3 linked regions of the Ovis aries genome follow. The protein of the gene in region 3 interacts with the protein of the main gene of each other region in a biochemical or structural test. Links are inferred from orthologs where the notes say so. Each region holds a gene or a part of one and is shown on either strand. Other genes may lie near its edges.

What was found.
Region 1: the proteins of UBE2V1 (region 3) and STUB1 form a complex in vitro, tested with the Homo sapiens proteins (4 studies listed by BioGRID). The link is inferred for Ovis aries from reciprocal best matches to the Homo sapiens genes UBE2V1 and STUB1.
Region 2: the proteins of UBE2V1 (region 3) and PELI1 form a complex in vitro, tested with the Homo sapiens proteins (3 studies listed by BioGRID). The link is inferred for Ovis aries from reciprocal best matches to the Homo sapiens genes UBE2V1 and PELI1.

The regions. Positions count from the first base shown.
Region 1 is NC_056077.1:1,118,284-1,122,033, forward strand, and holds STUB1 (E3 ubiquitin-protein ligase CHIP), read left to right. Parts: upstream 1-989; coding exon 990-1,148; exon of another isoform or gene 1,149-1,154; intron 1,155-1,639; coding exon 1,640-1,838; intron 1,839-1,924; coding exon 1,925-2,090; intron 2,091-2,131; exon of another isoform or gene 2,132-2,277; coding exon 2,278-2,365; exon of another isoform or gene 2,366-2,510; coding exon 2,511-2,567; exon of another isoform or gene 2,568-2,654; coding exon 2,655-2,771; exon of another isoform or gene 2,772-2,847; coding exon 2,848-2,973; 3' UTR 2,974-3,234; downstream 3,235-3,750. Other genes in the region: uncharacterized protein LOC101103616, read right to left, coding at 68-227, 360-453, 861-991; JMJD8 (jmjC domain-containing protein 8), read right to left, coding at 3,281-3,361, 3,451-3,585, 3,669-3,736. UniProt on the Homo sapiens protein: E3 ubiquitin-protein ligase which targets misfolded chaperone substrates towards proteasomal degradation.
Region 2 is NC_056056.1:44,196,913-44,200,562, reverse strand, and holds part of PELI1 (E3 ubiquitin-protein ligase pellino homolog 1), read right to left. Parts: intron 449-3,650; coding exon 347-448; intron 1-346. UniProt on the Homo sapiens protein: E3 ubiquitin ligase catalyzing the covalent attachment of ubiquitin moieties onto substrate proteins. Involved in the TLR and IL-1 signaling pathways via interaction with the complex containing IRAK kinases and TRAF6.
Region 3 is NC_056066.1:78,130,733-78,133,640, reverse strand, and holds the end of UBE2V1 (ubiquitin-conjugating enzyme E2 variant 1), read left to right. Parts: intron 1-564; coding exon 565-711; 3' UTR 712-2,316; downstream 2,317-2,908. UniProt on the Homo sapiens protein: Has no ubiquitin ligase activity on its own. The UBE2V1-UBE2N heterodimer catalyzes the synthesis of non-canonical poly-ubiquitin chains that are linked through Lys-63.

The sequences.
Region 1 (3,750 bases), on a different chromosome or scaffold from region 3:
AAGGACACTAACAGGCCAGGTTCCGCCAGCGACCCTGCCCGGGGGTGGTCCAGCTTTCCCGACTAACCCGAGGCGGTAGCCGGGCCCACGCCACGGAGGGCGCACAGAGCCATGACCGCTGCGTGCATGTCTGGCAGGAGGCGGAAGGCGGCGGCCGAACGCTGCACCACCAGCTCCGGAGAGTTGGCGGCCACGAGTTGCTGCAGGCGCGGTCGGAAGCGGCCCCTCTGTGGCCAGGTCGGGTCGGGTGTCACGGGTGGCGGCCCTCGCTGGGAGGCCCCTCAAGACTGCCACGAGGGTGAGCCCCCTGGGAAGCCCCACCCACGTGGCTGTGCCGCGCCCCAAGTGGGAAGCCTTACCGCCAGTTTCCACGCCAGCAGCCGCTGCAGCTCGTCTAGTGTCACGTGCTTCTCCGCGCGGGCCCCGATGGCCGCGGGCAGCTCCTCTCGGTACCTGGGGGAAGGCGGCGCTACGGAGTCCGGGCCACGGGGCTCGGCCCGCCCGCCCCTGCCCCCTCCGCCCTACCACCGGTCCAGCGCTTCCAGCCGCCCCTGGGGGCCCGCGCGCGCCCGCAGCACCGCCCCGCGGCACTCCAAGACGGCGGCCCAGCGGCTTGGGTCCTCACAGCTCCAGAGCCCGCCAGCCGCGGCCATCTCCCCGCGCCAGGCGAGGCCTCGGGGGCGGGGCGTCGGAGCGCGGCCGGGCGGGCGTCTGCCCGGGTGACCCAGCGCGTCGCAAACCTTGACGCCGCGTCGCGTTGCCAGAGTCCCCCTCCCTGCCGGCCCCGCCCCCACAGCGCGCCGGGGGCACGCACGGCCCCGCCCACCCGTGCGGCGGTCCGCTCCGCTGGCCCCGCCTACCTGCAGACCGGAAGTTCCGGTGGCGGAGCGCTGGACCGAGCCCGAGCGGATCGCGGGCTCGGGCTGCGGGCGCAGGGCGGGCTGGGCGCGGAGCCTGGGAGCGGAGCCCAGGCGGTGCCGTGCGGCGCCATGAAGGGCAAGGAGGAGAAGGAGGGCGGCGCACGGCTGGGCGCCGGCGGCGGCAGCCCCGAGAAGAGCCCGAGCGCACAGGAGCTCAAGGAGCAGGGCAACCGGCTCTTCGTGGGCCGCAAGTACCCGGAGGCAGCGGCCTGCTACGGCCGCGCCATCGTGAGTGCGCCCGCGCTGCGGGAGGGGCTTGGCGTCCGAGCCAGGGGAGGGGCCGAGCTGCGGCTTCTGCCGCGCGCCCTCTTCAGAACATGTCAGGCCGTGCCCGCCAGACTTTCGGAGGGAGGGGGTGGGTGCTTGGGGTCTGGGGCCAAGGCCGCGCCTTTCCCGAGCCAGTGCGGGCTGCCAGAGAACTGTGCTGGGTGGGAACCGTAGGTGTTCGAGGCCCACTGGGCTGGGGACCAGGCATCCCTGCCCCTTGAGGAGTCAAACGCGATGCTGGGGATTTCCATGAGTCCGGGAAAACTACCTTCACAAGACTCATTGGAGTCCAGAGAGTGGGCTCACGTAGGCTTCACCCTCCCTCAGAACCCAGGGGCTTGGAAGCTGAGAAAATGCTAGTGTCTTGGTTCCAACCGCGGGCCTCAAGTTGGGACGGAGTGGGCAGGCTGAGCTCACTCCCTCATGCTGGCTGGCCCGGCCTTGGTCCCCAGACCCGGAACCCCTTGGTGGCCGTGTATTACACCAACCGGGCACTGTGCTACCTGAAGATGCAGCAGCACGAGCAAGCCCTGGCCGACTGTCGGCGCGCCCTGGAGCTGGACGGGCAGTCTGTGAAGGCACACTTCTTCCTGGGGCAATGCCAGCTGGAGATGGAAAGCTATGATGAGGCTATTGCCAACCTGCAGCGAGGTGGGCTTACAGGCTAGCTGGTTCCAGGGTGCCTGGGACCAGGTGGGTGGACTGGTTGAAGTTTACCCAAATGCTCTATCCCCCAGCCTACAACCTGGCCAAGGAGCAGCGGCTCAACTTTGGGGATGACATCCCCAGTGCTCTGCGCATCGCAAAGAAGAAGCGCTGGAACAGCATCGAGGAGCGACGCATCCACCAGGAAAATGAGTTGCACTCTTACCTCACACGGCTCATTGTGGCTGAGCGTGAGAGGTGGGCTCCCCCTCTTCGAGTCACCACTCTTAGGTTAACTCTGAGGTGTGAACACAAGTGTTTATTGAAGGCCAATTCTGGCACGCAGGAGATGGAGGGAAAGGGGCCTGAATGATCCTAAGTCTGGAGTGGAGTCTGACTGCCCCTGGCCAGACCCATCTCTGAACACCTTTTGGTCAACCCCCAGGGAACTGGAAGAGTGTCAGCGGAACCACGAGGGTGACGAGGACGACAGCCACGTACGGGCCCAGCAGGCCTGCATTGAGGCCAAGCATGTGAGGGTGCCCCAGCCCGAGTGTGGGTCCTGTGTGTGCGTGCGCTGTGATGTGAGGTGCCCTGGCTCCTGCTGGGTCTGTGTCTCGGTGTCTGGGGAGGGGAGAGGGGTGTCAGGCCCACAAGTGGCTGCTTGGTTCTTTGCAGGACAAGTACTTGGCAGACATGGACGAGCTCTTCTCCCAGGTAGACGAGAAGAGAAAGGTGAGCTGCCCGTCTTCTGGGGCCGGTGGGTAGCTAGAGCAGTGTCCCTTCCCAGCCCCTGACCTGATCCAACCCTGTGTGCTGCAGAAGCGAGACATCCCTGACTACCTGTGCGGCAAGATCAGCTTTGAGCTGATGCGGGAGCCCTGCATCACGCCCAGTGGCATCACATACGACCGTAAGGACATCGAGGAGCACCTGCAGGTGAGGGTCTGTGGGCGCTGGCAGCAGGGCCCACGCGCACTGAGCAGCCCCTGACTCTGCCCTGTTGTCACTGCAGCGCGTGGGCCACTTTGACCCTGTGACTCGGAGCCCCCTGACCCAGGAACAGCTCATCCCCAACCTGGCCATGAAAGAGGTCATCGATGCCTTCATCTCTGAGAATGGCTGGGTAGAGGATTACTGAGCAGGGTGGGTGTATGGGCCACCCACCTGCCTTGCCCGGTACCCTAGTTCAGGAGGGCCTTGGGGCAGCAGCCCCTAGTTTTCTGTATATAGTTTGTGTCCCTGGATCCCTACCCTGGTGTCCCCACCCCCACCCCCATCAGTTCTGCTGGGCAACACGCCTCTCATCCTCCTTCTGGGCCGGAAAGGGGGGGTGAGGCTGGGCTGGGCTGAGGCTGCTGCCACCACCTCTGTCCCTGTAATAAAACCTGTGAGTACTGCAGGGATGTGTGCTGGTGTGCGGTGGGCTTGCCAGCCACCCCCTTTGGCTAGCCGAGGAAGGTAGAGATGAAGACGCTGGTGTCGAGGTTGAGTGTGGCATGCCACCATCGGTCCGGGAAATACAGCACCTGGCGAGGGGTTGGGGGGACATGTGGGTTGATGGGTTGGATGGGGGTCCTTGGCCTGGCTCAGCCTGGCCCGTCTGCCAGCCACTGACCTCACCAGCCTGGATAGTGCATTCCAGGGGCCGTGCAGATGGTGTCAGGGCTGGATATGTGTCCTGGAGCCAGGCCAGTGTGGTTTTGTTGGGGTGGAATTCGGGTGTCTTCTCAGGAGGGTACAGGAACCAGCGCTGGGGGTTGGCGGGGAGCAGCAAAGTTATGCTTTGTATTTTGGTCAGTGAACCCAGAGTCTCAGCCTGCACCCTGTGCTGACCTTGCGGCCATAGATCACCTCCGAGAACCCAGGTCCATGCCAGTGGAAGGGCACCCCAGAGCCAGCTCCTGTGAGGCAAGTT
Region 2 (3,650 bases), on a different chromosome or scaffold from region 3:
GTAGCTAAGTGTTTACCAGGTACCTGGCACAGTTCTGAATACTTCAGAGGGACTAACACATTTAAGCTTCCTAATAGTCATCTGAAGGAAGTTCTATTATCTCACTTTATAGGAGGAAACTGATGCAGAGAGTGGCTAAGTAATGTTTACCAGAAATTCTGATATCAGAGCCCATCTCTTACCCATGCTATGTGGACTTTTATACATGGGGTTTAGAAATCAAAATATATTTTAATGAAATGCATTAAGTGTGATAACCTTTAAGCTGACCACAGCGAAAGTCAATTACAACAGGTTTTTAACCTTTTTTTGTTTTTTAAGAAAAAAAGTTTAGATGTTATAATACCTGAAACATATCAGTGTTGCTGTCATGAGTATATTCAACCACTACTGTCTGTGCTCGAGACAAGGTGTATGATATGCTATGCTGGTCCTTATTGCTTATTGCCTAAGAAAAAAAAAGATTAATAGCAGAAATTAGCAGGTACATCAATCTAAATAGATAACCATAATAGATAAAAGATAACCTTTTTTTCAAAAAAAAAAGAGAGGGAGCTGTGCTCATTATACTATAACAATGTAATTGGAAAAAGAATTTGAGAAAGAAGAGATACATATAAATGTATAACTGAATCACCCTGTTGCACACCCAACACTAATACATTGTATTGGAGTATATGTACTCCAACATAAAACAAAAGTTAAAAAAAAAATACCACTATATTGCTTCAAGGGTAAGTCAACTATTTTATAATTACAAAACAAAACATCTCTTATGTCACTGCTGGTATTCATTTCAACCATACACAGACGTATAAAAATATATATGTTAATACATAATCAAGGACATCACTGCTGCTACTTTGAATAAAATGTTTGATCAATTGAGAATAAGAAAAATAGAGGTTTTTATTCTTTCTTTAAAAAACAATGATCTATTTATTACATGTATGACATATTTTCCCCCTGAAATTTAGAGATTAATAACTTGCATAACCTTTGCTGTGACAGTGGTTTCTTAGAGTGAGTGGAGTACAGAAGAATTTAGGCAGACCTCATTTTATTATGCTTCACAGATAACTGAATTTTTTATAAACTGAAGATTTGTGGCAACTCTGCATTGTCAGATGATGGTTAGCATTTAGCGTTAAAAGTACTTTAAAATTAAGGGCTTTCCTGGTGGCTCAATGGTGGGAAAGTCCATGGAGAGGGGAGCCTAGTAGGCTACAGTCGATGAGGTCGCAAGAGTTGGACACAACTGAGTAACTTTCATGATGCTATTACTGAACACTTAGTTCTCAGTCACTCAGTCATATCCGACTCTTTGTGACTGATGGACTGTAGCCCGCCTGGTCCTCTATCCCTGGGGTTCTCCAGGCAAGAATACTGGAGTGGGTTGCCATTCCCTTCTTCTGGGGATCTTCCTGACCCATGGATTGAACCCAGGTCTCCTAAATGGAGGTGGTTATTTACCAGGTGGATTCTTCACTCTCTGAGCCACCAGGGAAGCCTGCACACTTAGGGGACCACAGCATGGTGCAAACATAACTTTTATATATATATTAGGAAATGAAACCAGTTGTGATTTGCTTTATTGTGGTGGTCTGAAACTGATCCCAAAATATATCTGAGGTCTATCTGTGCACTGAAGCAATTACAGAGTAAAAACATAAGTTCACTGTATAAAAAAATTGTAAAATCTGAGTCTCCATTATAAGTATTTCAAGTTATAAGATACTTAAAAATCAAATCCCAGATAGAAAATGAAAGCAGTACTCAGTACTGCTCTGATAAGGAGAAAACACAAAATCTTGCAAGACAAGATTATTTATTTAAGAATCTTATTTAATAACTCAAAGAGGCTTAAAGTTAACAAATAAGCAAAGTTAACTGGTTTTTCTAGCCACTCTGTGACTCTATAGATGACAAGTATTTGCCATATGCTAGGCTAGATACAGAAAAATTCATAGAATGATTAAACATACCAAAGGAAATGGATATAATGCTTATGACTGTACTTTTGACATATGCCAAACTAAAAACATTGTTAAAAAGAACTTCTCAGTTTTGTTTTCGGGCGTTTTCTATGCATATGAGTTGATGATAATATCAGAGGGGGAAAAACCTGCACAGAGGAAGTGGAAACAGGCTGTGTAAAAGAAACAGAGAAAGACACAGAAGAATGATTATATGCAGCAAAGAGGCTAAATGAAAACAAAAAAACACTTTCGTAATTAGAACTTTGGTATTATGAAATTTTACTTGGTTTCAATTGGTAGCTAACCTGTAATGATAAAGTCTTCATAGTTTTAAGATAATTAAGACTGTGAAATTTTCAAATATACAAAAAGAATATATAAATACCTGGGTACTAACTACCCAACTTTTATCATTCTTACTAATACCATTTCTGCTTCTGATATTTTAAAAGAAATTAAACTGCAGATATAATGAAGGCTGCTTATATGTCCTTCCCTACTCCTGTCTCTGTAGAGGAACTGAACCTCAAGAGTACAGTTAACGTCACTCCCATGCACTTTAACAGGCTTTATATGCAGGCTTTACCACACATTGATGCACTCATAAACATGACAAAATGGTTTTAAAGATTTAAAAATCTATAATTACTTTATCTCAACATTAAGCAGCTGACTTTTCAATGAAATAATTTTTTAGTACTTTGGCCATTAATTCTTAAAGGCTAAAGGGATTTAAAAACACAGGTTTTGTATACTTTGAGATTATAAACTGTGTTTTTTTAAACTATGAGATCTACTCAGATTGAGAATACAGAGCTGTGTCAAGTTAAATTCTCACTGGATTGGAAGTCAGGGTTTAAGCACTCATCCCAGATGACTGCTAGACTAAACAGTTAGTTTTCTCCCTGACCTCATTATACACTCCTCCAAAACTGAAAAAGCAGAAAGTCAATTTTTGATCCCTAAGATTCCTGCTGCCTAGTAAAGATGCAAAGGAGCCAGCAATGAAACATGAGAAGTATGACAGTAAAAACATGAAGAGACGTACACAACAGGAAATTACAGAAGCAAGGCTTAGAAAGATTTCCCTAGGATAGTAGTTCTTAACCAGAGGTAGTGTCAGCTGTGTAAGGGGCGTTTGCCGGCTGTGTTTGCTGGCCATCACAATGATTTGAGGGCTGAAATGGCATTCAGTGGGAAGGGACCAAGAATATTAGGTTGGTGCAAAAGTAATGGCTGTTCTGCATTGTTGAACTCTGCCTTTAATACTGGAATAAATTCCTAAATAAATGTGGCTATGTTATTATACATCATTTTAATGTGCATTTCTCACTTTATTTTTTTTGCTAATGACTTATTACTTGTTTATATTTATTTTAGACTACAGAAATGATGCTAGATATAAAGCAAATTTGGGCAATTTTTTTATTCGAGTTCAAAACGGGTCATAACGTAGCAGAGACAACTTGTAACATCAATAATGCATCTGGCCCAGGAACTGCTAGTGAACGTACAGTGCAGTGGTGGTTCAAGAAGTTTTGCAAAGGAGACAAGCGCCTTGAAGATGACGAGTGTGGTGGCTGGCTATCAGAAGTTGACAGTGACCAACTGAAAGCATCACTGAAGCGGATCCTCTTATAACTACACAAGAAATTGCCAAAGAATTCAACG
Region 3 (2,908 bases):
GGTGGCTCGGACAGGCTCTGGTCTGCTGTTGCCTCACTCTCCCTACTGCCCTGAGCGGTGGCCACCACCTGGGTGCAGAGTGGGCAGGACAGGCCCTGAACATCACCTGCCACCTGGGCACAGTGGGGAGGAGAGGCCCTGAGCATCGCTCGCCACCTGGGCACAGAGTGGGTAGCACAGGCCCTGAGCATCGCCCGCCACCTGGGCACAGAGTGGGGAGGACAGGCCCTGGGCGGTGGCCGCAGCTCGCCCAGCAGGCGGGGCCGTCGTTTCACAGCCAGCTGAGCCTCACCAGGCGTTGGTGCCTCATCTGTAAAGGCGGCTTTTACTTGCCCTTAATTCCCTCCTTCCAGGCCATGAGGGTTCCCAAACAAGGGCAAAGCAGACCAGCGGGAGGGAGGGAACCCCGTGGGCATTCCGCGTGTCAGTCCTGCTGGGTGACCAGCATGTTCCACCTGAAAAATGCTTCTCACTCACTTTTCTGCTGTAGCTTAGCTCCAGCACACAGCTTTCCTTTTGTTTGAGAGCCTGACAGTAATTTGTTTTATCTTTGCCTTTCTATAGGTGGACCCAAGAGCCATATCAGTGCTAGCAAAATGGCAGAATTCGTATAGCATCAAAGTTGTCCTGCAAGAGCTTCGGCGCCTAATGATGTCTAAAGAAAATATGAAACTTCCTCAGCCGCCTGAAGGACAGTGTTACAGCAATTAATCAAAAAGAAAAACCACAGGTCCTCCCCTGCCCCCATTCGATTTAAGCAGTCTTCATTTTCCACAGTAGTAAATTTTCTAGATTCGTCTTGTAGACCTCAAAGTACTGGAAAGAAAGCTCCCATTCAAAGGCAGTTTATCTTAAGATACTGTAAATGATACTAATTTTTTGTCCATTTGAAATATATAAGTTGTGCTATAACAAATCATCCTGTCAAGTGTAACCACTGTCCACATAGTTGAACTTCTGGGATCAAGAAAGTGATATTTAAATTGATTCCCATCCTAACCGGTGGGGCACGTCTAACTCAACTGTGAAAAGACACATCACACAGCCACCTTGCTGCTGATTCCACGGCCTGGGGTCTCTGCCTTCCCCCCTCCCCACTCCCTGCAACAGCCCTCCAGCTAGGCGTGGCTTGTTAGAGTAGGCGTGAAGGTTTCAGGTCACAGCCTGGGGGACACTGCTGGCGTGTGGGCTGCTCTGTCCGCATCCCTGGTCTCTCTCTAAGTCTTAAGTGACGCCCCTCTTCCAAGCCATCAATCCTCCTCCCCCCCCCCCCCACCCTCCACTGCCGCCCTTGGCCGAGGCATAGATTGTAACCCCTCTGCTCCCCTCTGAAATTGGCCTTTGGTGAGGAATTCAGGGCTTTCCCCGTATCTTCTCCCCCCACCTAAATCGAGGGGTGCTGCTTTTTCCTTCCTCCTCCTCAAGTCCCTTTCTGCACCACCAACACCCAACACTTCCCATGACGCTTCCTTGCTTTGGCCGGAAGCCATCAGGTAAGGTTGGAAAGAGTCTCTGACCTCCCCTCATTTAGTCTTGGAACCACAATTTACTCTCCACCAGCCTGGGAAACGAATATTGGGTTCTCAGCCTTGCCACCCTCTGCTGTCATCGTCAGCTGATGCGTTTCTTTAGCTCAGGTTTCGATAAGGTGAAAAGAACAGTCACCAGGGTTACTCAGGCCTGCCAGCTCGCGGCCTCCTTGGTGGTTAAACTTGGAGGAAGGCCACTTGGAAGCACACACGACCCCTCGGAATGAATTGTCCTTTTCCTGTAGAGGCTTTGGCTTTCTAACATGGAAGAAGCTTTACACAGGGCTCTCACTGGGCCATCCTTTGAGTCCACTCGGGTCTGGTTCGGAAGCTGACAACTGGAGCGAAAAGAGCCTTGAATCCGGTGCATACTTTGGTTTGGGTGCTGCTGCTTCTCCCGGCCCTCAGCAGGGGTCACGAAAGACCTCGGTGTGCACGGCAGACCCCCGAAATTCCTGGCGAATCGCTGCATTTTTCCACTTTTCTGTTCAGGACCACTAAATGCTGAGATGTGGATGCCTACCGAAATAAAATCAATTCATTGTGCTCCAAGGGTTTTTTTTTTTTTTTTCAGTGTCTGTGTAAAACCACCTTTTGAAGCAGCAACTATCAAGTCTGAAAAGCAATTGATGTTTCCATTAATCTTTTTCTGGAGGAAACCTTAGTTCTAAGGGTTTAACATCCTGTAAGTAAAGTTTAACATAACAGTATTCCATAAGCAGTCTTTTTATTGTCAGACCATTGCCTGATTTTAATATAATAAAAAGAAGTGTGCGTTAATATTTAAGAAGCTGTGCTCTTCTTCCTCAGCATATAATTTATTCAGGATTAGAATTGAATGTCTTAGATGCTTTGGTGTTCAATTTGACTTCCAAAAGCAGGGGTTGGGGAACTTTTTCTACAGTGGGTTCAAATTAGTAAACATTTAGGCTTTTTTTTTCCATCTGGCTTGTGAGATCTTGGGTTGTACCCAGGCCCTCAGCAGTGAGGGCAGAATCCTAACCATTCTTCAGCCAGAGAATCCCCAACTGTTTAAGCTTTATTGGCCAAGAGGCAAAATCAAAGAAATTATGTGTGTGTTTATTTAACGAGAAAACAAAATTTCCACAACTTTTGGATGAAATTCAAAATATCATAATTGAGTACAGTTTTTTGTAATGGTAACAGGTACACTGAGAAGAATGGAATGCTTTTTTTTATGGGGTAACGTAATTGGGATTCAAAGTTAGCATCCCTGTTACCAGATCAGTTGCAGACGCTCCTCCGTATAGATCATTCGTCATTTGAGGGGCCAAACAGAGCTGGGCGGTGGACCAGACCTGGCCCATGGACCATAGTTTGCCAACCCCTGTCTTAAAAAACCAGCAAAGGAGGGGTAG